Linked DNA regions of Saccharomyces cerevisiae S288C. Changing the gene in region 1 together with any one later gene gives a genetic interaction. Each region holds a gene or a part of one and is shown in the gene's direction. Other genes may lie near its edges. The genes, in order: LEU9, INO1 and CYB2.

What was found.
Region 2: mutations in LEU9 (region 1) and INO1 together harm fitness more than expected from each alone (negative genetic interaction), as found in Saccharomyces cerevisiae (one large-scale study listed by BioGRID).
Region 3: mutations in LEU9 (region 1) and CYB2 together harm fitness more than expected from each alone (negative genetic interaction), as found in Saccharomyces cerevisiae (one large-scale study listed by BioGRID).

What each region holds. Positions count from the first base shown.
Region 1 is NC_001147.6:520,893-524,648, forward strand, and holds the start of LEU9 (2-isopropylmalate synthase LEU9), read left to right. Parts: upstream 1-2,134; coding exon 2,135-3,756. Other genes in the region: GTPase-activating protein RGS2, read left to right, coding at 461-1,390. UniProt on the Saccharomyces cerevisiae protein: Catalyzes the condensation of the acetyl group of acetyl-CoA with 3-methyl-2-oxobutanoate (2-oxoisovalerate) to form 3-carboxy-3-hydroxy-4-methylpentanoate (2-isopropylmalate). Redundant to LEU4, responsible for about 20% of alpha-IPMS activity.
Region 2 is NC_001142.9:133,981-137,736, reverse strand, and holds INO1 (inositol-3-phosphate synthase INO1), read left to right. Parts: upstream 1-1,803; coding exon 1,804-3,405; downstream 3,406-3,756. Other genes in the region: SCF ubiquitin ligase complex subunit DAS1, read right to left, coding at 1-358; SNA3 (Sna3p), read left to right, coding at 964-1,365. UniProt on the Saccharomyces cerevisiae protein: Key enzyme in myo-inositol biosynthesis pathway that catalyzes the conversion of glucose 6-phosphate to 1-myo-inositol 1-phosphate in a NAD-dependent manner. Rate-limiting enzyme in the synthesis of all inositol-containing compounds.
Region 3 is NC_001145.3:165,628-169,383, reverse strand, and holds the start of CYB2 (L-lactate dehydrogenase (cytochrome)), read left to right. Parts: upstream 1-2,075; coding exon 2,076-3,756. Other genes in the region: YML053C (uncharacterized protein), read left to right, coding at 1-268; YML054C-A (uncharacterized protein), read left to right, coding at 1,603-1,761. UniProt on the Saccharomyces cerevisiae protein: Catalyzes the oxidation of (S)-lactate (L-lactate) to pyruvate with subsequent transfer of electrons to cytochrome c. Is involved in the utilization of (S)-lactate as a sole source of carbon for growth.

The sequences.
Region 1 (3,756 bases):
CGATCGAAGCGGCTCGGCGCTCATTTTAGCACAATCAGAAAAAGGAAATTGAAAGAAGAAAAAAAAAACATAATCATTAACAATTCTTTTCTTGAGATATACGTATATATGACGTCGTCATGTAGTATCTCTTTCGGGATACCCTTTGTAAACGTCCCTTTGTGGAGATGAAAAAAAAACTTGCTGAATAAAGATAGTTAAGGCGCTAGTAATCAAATTAATAACATATTATACCACATCACATCTATACCATTTCCGTTGCACATTGCTTGAACCAGTTGCCAAAATTGACTAAACGGATTTTTACAAAGTCAACGGTGATCACTAAAAGCAAACAACTCAAGCGACGAGGCAAGGAAAGAGAAGAAAAAAAAAATATTACATTGGCTATATAAATATCAAAACATCTTAGGTAAGGCACCTTTGATACATAAAACGAAGAAAATTCAGCACATGCCAGATGGCGAGTGTACCAAGTCTATGCGACATACTGATACCGCTAGAAAAGAATAGTCGCAGCGACGGCGATGCTGAAAGTAGCAATACAGTGCTGATTCAACTGCGAAAAGGGCATCACGAACGGATGCGTTCTCCTTACACAATACAAAAGTTTTACAAATTTCTAAAAAGAGCTCATTGTGAGGAAAATTTAGAATTTTTCGAAAAAGCTCATCAGTTCCTCCAGCTTAAGCAAAACAGGAGTATTAGCGAGGAGAAGCTCTTGGAAGTTTGGAACAAGTCGTTGTACATAAAATACATTGCCGTGGACTCCCCCAAAGAATGCAACTTTTCACAGGATACTAGGGAGATATTTGAGAAGTGCTTTGCTAACAATGAAGTACCTGCCGACGTAGACGTCCTGTGTGCCATTAGCCATGTGATGGGCCTATTAATGGACGGGTATCACCGATTTGTGAGTTCTGTTAATGAGAAAAAGTACTCCGCCACATATGCCCACAATGACTCTGCTACGGAACAAGATCTCAAAAACGAGTCTACAACTTCTTTTTCGTCATTAGGCGTGGAGGATATTTCTGAAGATAGAAATTCGTATCTTAAGAAGCCTGATATCAATGGTTTGTCAACTATCATTCAAGAAACGTCTGCAAACACGACCAATGAGTCGCAATGCAGCGATCGCACTTCTCGGCCAAGCGAGTCCTCTTCCTCACTCAACACTACCAGCTCGACCTACAAGAATACCAGCACTAGAAATCTGCAAAAACCGCAAAATACAGGAATTCTCAACTCGGGGAAAGGTTTATTGCAAAAACTTAACTTTGTTAAAAAACGGAAATCTTTCAAACAGCCTTCAGGCGTCATTTGTAGCCATTATAACAGCAATGTTCAAAACCGTTTGAAAGGACAAAACAGTCATCAACAAAGATAGCCTCTTCATCATCTGTGGAGACACAAATATCTTCATCCTCATCGCCATTACCCAATAAAGCGATCGGTAAAAATGAAAAAAGCGTTGAAAACGGCTTTAAAAAGCTAAATTTGCATGATATCAGTTAATCAAGATTAGAACTTTGATTAAGTAGAACAACGATAGAAAATCCGCTTTTCTGGCTAGTTCCCTCGTTTCATATTAATTCATTTCACACAATTTACTTCATTTCATCACGCTCATATTGTTTGTAACTTTAGTTTTTATTTAATTTTACGTACATGACACTGCATATAATTATTTCACAGGCATTTAAAATAAGAGCATTGGGCACAGTCTTCTTTTATATGTTGTCATATTCAAACACTAAACATTTATCTGTATAGTAATTAATGTTAGCTCTTCCTTCTGCATGGCGCTTGTTATATACTTCATTCGTCTATTTTGGTGCCGCGCGCCATCATGGTCCGGTAACGGTCGTAGTGAATGACTCATATTTTTCCATCTCTTTCGGCCTTGCCAAAAAATGAAAAAAAAAAAAAAAAAAAAAAAAAAAATTAAAAACGATGTCCAGAATCACAACTACAACATAGTTTTGCCTCTTACTGGCTTGATTGGAAGTTAGCTGTTAAATTTCAATAATGCCTTACTTTACTCCACGAAATCACAATCCTTGTTTTCGGCTTATAAGGGTCTTCTCCTTAGGATAATACTATCGGCACATTATCATTTAGCCGCGTAGCCATGGTAAAACATTCGTTCATAGCGCTAGCTGAGCATGCTAGTAAACTAAGAAGGTCTATCCCACCCGTCAAACTGACTTATAAAAATATGCTACGGGACCCATCGGTAAAATATAGGGCGTTTGCTCCACCAAAAATGGTCAAGAGGATTTGGCCTGACAAAACTATTCAAAAGGCTCCACGTTGGCTGTCTACTGACTTGAGGGACGGTAATCAATCTTTACCGGACCCAATGTCTGTGGCTCAAAAGAAAGAATATTTCCACAAGTTGATCAACATCGGTTTCAAAGAAATCGAAGTGTCTTTCCCCTCTGCATCTCAAACAGATTTCGACTTCACCAGGTATGCTGTAGAAAACGCTCCAGATGATGTTGGTATTCAATGTCTTGTCCAATCTAGAGAACACTTGATTAAAAGAACCGTGGAAGCATTGACTGGTGCTAAAAGGGCTACCATACATACTTACTTGGCCACAAGTGACATGTTCCGAGAAATTGTCTTCAATATGTCTAGAGAGGAAGCTATTTCTAAAGCTGTAGAAGCCACCAAACTGGTTAGGAAACTAACCAAGGATGACCCTTCCCAGCAAGCTACTCGTTGGTCCTATGAGTTTTCTCCCGAATGTTTCAGTGATACGCCAGGTGAATTTGCTGTAGAAATTTGTGAAGCTGTTAAAAAGGCTTGGGAACCTACCGAGGAAAATCCGATCATTTTCAACTTACCAGCTACTGTAGAAGTTGCCTCTCCAAATGTTTACGCTGATCAAATTGAGTACTTCTCTACCCACATTACTGAGCGTGAGAAGGTCTGTATTTCTACGCATTGTCACAATGACCGTGGTTGCGGTGTCGCCGCCACAGAATTAGGTATGCTTGCAGGCGCTGATCGTGTAGAAGGTTGTCTATTTGGTAATGGTGAACGTACAGGTAATGTTGATTTGGTTACAGTTGCCATGAATATGTATACCCAAGGTGTTTCTCCTAATTTAGATTTCTCAGATTTAACTTCAATTTCTGAAATTGTCCATCGCTGTAACAAGATTCCAATTCCCCCAAGAGCCCCATATGGCGGTGAATTGGTTGTTTCTGCCTTTTCTGGTTCTCATCAGGATGCAATTAAGAAGGGATTTGCAATCCAAAACAAGAAACAGGCTCAAGGAGAAACTCGGTGGAGAATTCCATACTTACCATTGGATCCAAAGGATATTGGACGTGATTACGAAGCCGTCATCAGAGTCAACTCTCAATCCGGTAAGGGTGGTGCTGCTTGGGTTATTATGAGATCTCTAGGATTAGATGTACCAAGACCAATGCAAGTTGATTTCTCCAATACTCTACAGAAAAATGCAGATGCCTTAGGAAGAGAGTTAAAATCCGAAGAGATTACAAAATTGTTCAAAGAAACTTACAACTACAACAACAATGAACATATATACGTCACCTTGTTGAATTACGAAGTTAAGAAATTGAACCCAGAGCGTAGAGCTTTAGTGGGCCAGGTAGAAATCAACGATAAGGTTGTCAACATCGAAGGCTACGGAAATGGTCCTATCTCTTCTTTGGTGGATGCGCTATCCAATTTACTGAATGTTAAGTTGAGCGTTCAAAACTACTCTGAACATTC
Region 2 (3,756 bases), on another chromosome or scaffold:
TCAACGAAGACGGCAAGTTCAGTAGGGTCCAATTAATTGCGAGATGCATGAAGTCACTCTTCACTACATTTGAGTCGTTCAAATATATTCTTCTATAAAGCAGTTTGGTAGCGATCTTATTCAACCTTTTGTTCACAAGGCAAAGCTGCAAGCGGTCTGGTTGCGGCAAATGAGAGAATACTTCTTGCATGAGCTCATCGGGGAGCTTTGTTAGCGGGAACACGTAGTTTTTGCTCTTGGCGGCGAAATTTATGTTAATATCGTTAATATCTCGTAGCGCTGAAGCATCTGCGTTACTTTTATTGTTTCTGTTAATGAACGCTGCTTTTTTCTTCTGAAAATAATCTTGAAATGGCATGATATGAATATAAGCTGAGTTGTAAACACTGTGTATAGACGTCCTGGATATTTTGCACGGAAATCAGATCTCCATCGAAATCTACAATTCGCTTATAATCTATATATATTCCTCTTTGTGTGGGACGATAAAGTAGGGTAATACTTGCAATGAGAAAGAATACTCTGGTGAACAGGTGCATTTTGAGAGGGAAATAGGAACTAAGAAAAACAAGTAGAGGAAAAGGGGTGTAGTGCAGTGCAGTAAAGCGTTGCATTGATCGTATCTTGATAGATATACCGGTATATTACTGAACGTTTACATTCACCCTACAACATTTATAAATCTTATATATTATACATGCAAACTCGTATTTGTGAAGTGGGCATATAGTTTTTCGCTATGTATATAGCGGATGAGTGCGTTGGGATTACTATTTCTTTAATGCACGTGATGAAGGCTCGTTTTCTTTTTTTTTTTTTTTTTTTCTTTTTGGGAACGGGGGAAAAGGTCTCACTAGTATATAAAGGAAAGAGAGTACAGCACGAATGAGCCAGCTGCAGGAAAGGGGCTAGGTTAAAAAATAAAAACCCAGCAGAAAGCAAACAACCAAATATAATTTAGAAATGGACAGAGACCATATTAATGACCATGACCATCGAATGAGCTATTCCATCAACAAGGACGACTTGTTGTTAATGGTTTTGGCGGTTTTCATTCCCCCAGTGGCCGTCTGGAAGCGTAAGGGTATGTTCAACAGGGATACACTATTGAACTTACTTCTCTTCCTACTGTTATTCTTCCCAGCAATCATTCACGCTTGCTACGTTGTATATGAAACGAGTAGTGAACGTTCGTACGATCTTTCACGCAGACATGCGACTGCGCCCGCCGTAGACCGTGACCTGGAAGCTCACCCTGCAGAGGAATCTCAAGCACAGCCTCCAGCATATGATGAAGACGATGAGGCCGGTGCCGATGTGCCCTTGATGGACAACAAACAACAGCTCTCTTCCGGCCGTACTTAGTGATCGGAACGAGCTCTTTATCACCGTAGTTCTAAATAACACATAGAGTAAATTATTGCCTTTTTCTTCGTTCCTTTTGTTCTTCACGTCCTTTTTATGAAATACGTGCCGGTGTTCCGGGGTTGGATGCGGAATCGAAAGTGTTGAATGTGAAATATGCGGAGGCCAAGTATGCGCTTCGGCGGCTAAATGCGGCATGTGAAAAGTATTGTCTATTTTATCTTCATCCTTCTTTCCCAGAATATTGAACTTATTTAATTCACATGGAGCAGAGAAAGCGCACCTCTGCGTTGGCGGCAATGTTAATTTGAGACGTATATAAATTGGAGCTTTCGTCACCTTTTTTTGGCTTGTTCTGTTGTCGGGTTCCTAATGTTAGTTTTATCCTTGATTTATTCTGTTTCATTCCCTTTTTTTTCCAGTGAAAAAGAAGTAACAATGACAGAAGATAATATTGCTCCAATCACCTCCGTTAAAGTAGTTACCGACAAGTGCACGTACAAGGACAACGAGCTGCTCACCAAGTACAGCTACGAAAATGCTGTAGTTACGAAGACAGCTAGTGGCCGCTTCGATGTAACGCCCACTGTTCAAGACTACGTGTTCAAACTTGACTTGAAAAAGCCGGAAAAACTAGGAATTATGCTCATTGGGTTAGGTGGCAACAATGGCTCCACTTTAGTGGCCTCGGTATTGGCGAATAAGCACAATGTGGAGTTTCAAACTAAGGAAGGCGTTAAGCAACCAAACTACTTCGGCTCCATGACTCAATGTTCTACCTTGAAACTGGGTATCGATGCGGAGGGGAATGACGTTTATGCTCCTTTTAACTCTCTGTTGCCCATGGTTAGCCCAAACGACTTTGTCGTCTCTGGTTGGGACATCAATAACGCAGATCTATACGAAGCTATGCAGAGAAGTCAAGTTCTCGAATATGATCTGCAACAACGCTTGAAGGCGAAGATGTCCTTGGTGAAGCCTCTTCCTTCCATTTACTACCCTGATTTCATTGCAGCTAATCAAGATGAGAGAGCCAATAACTGCATCAATTTGGATGAAAAAGGCAACGTAACCACGAGGGGTAAGTGGACCCATCTGCAACGCATCAGACGCGATATCCAGAATTTCAAAGAAGAAAACGCCCTTGATAAAGTAATCGTTCTTTGGACTGCAAATACTGAGAGGTACGTAGAAGTATCTCCTGGTGTTAATGACACCATGGAAAACCTCTTGCAGTCTATTAAGAATGACCATGAAGAGATTGCTCCTTCCACGATCTTTGCAGCAGCATCTATCTTGGAAGGTGTCCCCTATATTAATGGTTCACCGCAGAATACTTTTGTTCCCGGCTTGGTTCAGCTGGCTGAGCATGAGGGTACATTCATTGCGGGAGACGATCTCAAGTCGGGACAAACCAAGTTGAAGTCTGTTCTGGCCCAGTTCTTAGTGGATGCAGGTATTAAACCGGTCTCCATTGCATCCTATAACCATTTAGGCAATAATGACGGTTATAACTTATCTGCTCCAAAACAATTTAGGTCTAAGGAGATTTCCAAAAGTTCTGTCATAGATGACATCATCGCGTCTAATGATATCTTGTACAATGATAAACTGGGTAAAAAAGTTGACCACTGCATTGTCATCAAATATATGAAGCCCGTCGGGGACTCAAAAGTGGCAATGGACGAGTATTACAGTGAGTTGATGTTAGGTGGCCATAACCGGATTTCCATTCACAATGTTTGCGAAGATTCTTTACTGGCTACGCCCTTGATCATCGATCTTTTAGTCATGACTGAGTTTTGTACAAGAGTGTCCTATAAGAAGGTGGACCCAGTTAAAGAAGATGCTGGCAAATTCGAGAACTTTTATCCAGTTTTAACCTTCTTGAGTTACTGGTTAAAAGCTCCATTAACAAGACCAGGATTTCACCCGGTGAATGGCTTAAACAAGCAAAGAACCGCCTTAGAAAATTTTTTAAGATTGTTGATTGGATTGCCTTCTCAAAACGAACTAAGATTCGAAGAGAGATTGTTGTAATCTCATTTCAACGACTCTCTTTTTCTTTTTCCGCCTACCTATAAAAAAACAAGACATTCACCATTATCCTATTATCCCTTCCATCAATACATATACTTAACATAACGTTTATAAAAATTCAACTATCAACAGTCTTTATATTTTTTTTTTTTCTTTTGAACTATTGCCTCTTTGTCACTTCGTCTTAAAGGGGCGTTTTTTATTTTTTTTTTTTTTTTTCAGTTGAGGTAGATGCGAGAAAGTGCTGTATTTATTCAAGGGCCACCTCAGTAAAGAGAAGAAAAGAGAGAAAAAAAAAAAGAAGGTGGTGTATGTGCGACCACTCAACAAGGCCCAGTGAAGTTAATATAT
Region 3 (3,756 bases), on another chromosome or scaffold:
ACCGGTTAGTATGCACCACACTATGAACAGCCGCTTACTGAACGAATCTGAATTTTATTCTGAAACAGAAGAGTACATGATTCATGGTTATTTCGGTAACACTAATCGCGACATAACAGGCACGAGTCCTACTGGAAGTGCTAGTATTATACAACACCAGTATCATCTTCTACCATCCCAAAGTATAATTGCATCACAAGCACCCGGTACTGCCATGGCCGCGTTGACTAACAACAATATCGCTAACGATTACATGGATATAGATTAATAAGAAAAAAAATAACTGCAGGAAATGAAAATGAAAATGAAATGGAAAAAAAAAAAAGAAAATTTAACCTATTTAAAATAATACAATGTATTACATATTTATCACGACTGTTTACGTATCTCTACTCAATTTACTTTAAAGGCTAAGTGCTCATTCTGGCTACCTTACATCTATCTATAAAACGTTCAAAACTCAAACCTCACTAGGCCTGGAGAAAAAGGGAAAAAAAATATCTCCCGGGGGCGAGTCGAACGCCCGATCTCAAGATTTCGTAGTGGTAAATTACAGTCTTGCGCCTTAAACCAACTTGGCTACCGAGAGTGACTATTTTGATTTACTTCAAAATAAAGTGTCAGTACTACCCTTATTATATGAATGTTGTCGTAACCTCTCGGATTATATGTAGACAATGTTATGGATATATAGAATATAAGTGTTGGAATAAAAATCAACTATCATCTACTAACTAGTATTTACGTTACTAGTATATTATCATATACGGTGTTAGAAGATGACGCAAATGATGAGAAATAGTCATCTAAATTAGTGGAAGCTGAAACGCAAGGATTGATAATGTAATAGGATCAATGAATATTAACATATAAAATGATGATAATAATATTTATAGAATTGTGTAGAATTGCAGATTCCCTTTTATGGATTCCTAAATCCTCGAGGAGAACTTCTAGTACATTCTACATACCTAATATTATTGCCTTATTAAAAATGGAATCCCAACGATTATCTCAAAATTCACCCATTCTTCAATAAGAATTTACGAAATAAATCCGGTAACCATAAATCCACAGAGCCTCTTATATTCACTCTGTTCCTCCATCGCCTATTGAGAAACGTTGGAATAAAACTCTAAAAATATCATCTAGTTAGTTAGTTTTTATTTTACCAGTACATTGTCACTTGCGGAGGGAGGATGACATAAAGATTGAGACGCAGTCATTTAATGAAGTTTAAACGCGGGTACTTGATAAAGTAATACGATATTGAATCATGACGTATAAAGTGAAATGAACGAATGATTACGTAAAAATGTCGATTTTCTCTTGAGAGACTCCCATAGCCTCTAAGAGGCCTTCTACTACGTTCCATATATCTAAGAATGGGGCCATATCCAGTGGAATCCCAGCAATTATTTGAGAATCACCATTTCTCAGCCGATATTTTAGCAGAATTACTACCAATATCAGGGGGCAATAGTTGATCGCCTACTTTAACAAAAAATGTTGCTCACGTATTAACACAGGCAACAAAAAGGATATTACGCAAGAACGTAGTATCCACATGCCATCCTCCTTGTTGCATCTTTTTTTTCCGAAATGATTCCCTTTCCTGCACAACACGAGATCTTTCACGCATACATCGGAAGGATCACCCCCCACTCAAGTCGTTGCATTGCTAACATGTGGCATTCTGCCCATTTTTTTCACGAAAATTCTCTCTCTATAATGAAGACCCTTGTGCCCTGGACTCTGTAATACTTGAAACTACTTCCTCAATAATCGCTTGGAGACCTACCCCCACGCTTTTCAAACAAGGCGCTAGCAAAAAGCCTGCCGATATCTCCTTGCCCCCTCCTCCTGTTCGAGAGAACTACGACCCGACCAATAATAATGTCATACAAGAACCGCCAAGAACCAACTGCTGAACCTTAGATCTCCAATACTTTCAGTTGGAGTATGTGAATATATAAGTACCTGGTCGACTAATCTTCTTGCATCTTTTCGTATTCTTACATCCTATGTCGCTAATACAGTTCCCGCATAGAGAAGAAAGCAAACAAAAGTAGTCAATGCTAAAATACAAACCTTTACTAAAAATCTCGAAGAACTGTGAGGCTGCTATCCTCAGAGCGTCTAAGACTAGATTGAACACAATCCGCGCGTACGGTTCTACCGTTCCAAAATCCAAGTCGTTCGAACAAGACTCAAGAAAACGCACACAGTCATGGACTGCCTTGAGAGTCGGTGCAATTCTAGCCGCTACTAGTTCCGTGGCGTATCTAAACTGGCATAATGGCCAAATAGACAACGAGCCGAAACTGGATATGAATAAACAAAAGATTTCGCCCGCTGAAGTTGCCAAGCATAACAAGCCCGATGATTGTTGGGTTGTGATCAATGGTTACGTATACGACTTAACGCGATTCCTACCAAATCATCCAGGTGGGCAGGATGTTATCAAGTTTAACGCCGGGAAAGATGTCACTGCTATTTTTGAACCACTACATGCTCCTAATGTCATCGATAAGTATATAGCTCCCGAGAAAAAATTGGGTCCCCTTCAAGGATCCATGCCTCCTGAACTTGTCTGTCCTCCTTATGCTCCTGGTGAAACTAAGGAAGATATCGCTAGAAAAGAACAACTAAAATCGCTGCTACCTCCTCTAGATAATATTATTAACCTTTACGACTTTGAATACTTGGCCTCTCAAACTTTGACTAAACAAGCGTGGGCCTACTATTCCTCCGGTGCTAACGACGAAGTTACTCACAGAGAAAACCATAATGCTTATCATAGGATTTTTTTCAAACCAAAGATCCTTGTAGATGTACGCAAAGTAGACATTTCAACTGACATGTTGGGTTCTCATGTGGATGTTCCCTTCTACGTGTCTGCTACAGCTTTGTGTAAACTGGGAAACCCCTTAGAAGGTGAAAAAGATGTCGCCAGAGGTTGTGGCCAAGGTGTGACAAAAGTCCCACAAATGATATCTACTTTGGCTTCATGTTCCCCTGAGGAAATTATTGAAGCAGCACCCTCTGATAAACAAATTCAATGGTACCAACTATATGTTAACTCTGATAGAAAGATCACTGATGATTTGGTTAAAAATGTAGAAAAGCTGGGTGTAAAGGCATTATTTGTCACTGTGGATGCTCCAAGTTTAGGTCAAAGAGAAAAAGATATGAAGCTGAAATTTTCCAATACAAAGGCTGGTCCAAAAGCGATGAAGAAAACTAATGTAGAAGAATCTCAAGGTGCTTCGAGAGCGTTATCAAAGTTTATTGACCCCTCTTTGACTTGGAAAGATATAGAAGAGTTGAAGAAAAAGACAAAACTACCTATTGTTATCAAAGGTGTTCAACGTACCGAAGATGTTATCAAAGCAGCAGAAATCGGTGTAAGTGGGGTGGTTCTATCCAATCATGGTGGTAGACAATTAGATTTTTCAAGGGCTCCCATTGAAGTCCTGGCTGAAACCATGCCAATCCTGGAACAACGTAACTTGAAGGATAAGTTGGAAGTTTTCGTGGACGGTGGTGTTCGTCGTGGTACAGATGTCTTGAAAGCGTTATGTCTAGGTGCTAAAGGTGTTGGTTTGGGTAGACCATTCTTGTATGCGAACTCATGCTATGGTCGTAATGGTGTTGAAAAAGCCATTGAAATTTTAAGAGATGAAATTGAAATGTCTATGAGACTATTAGGTGTTACTAGCATTGCGGAATTGAAGCCTGATCTTTTAGATCTAT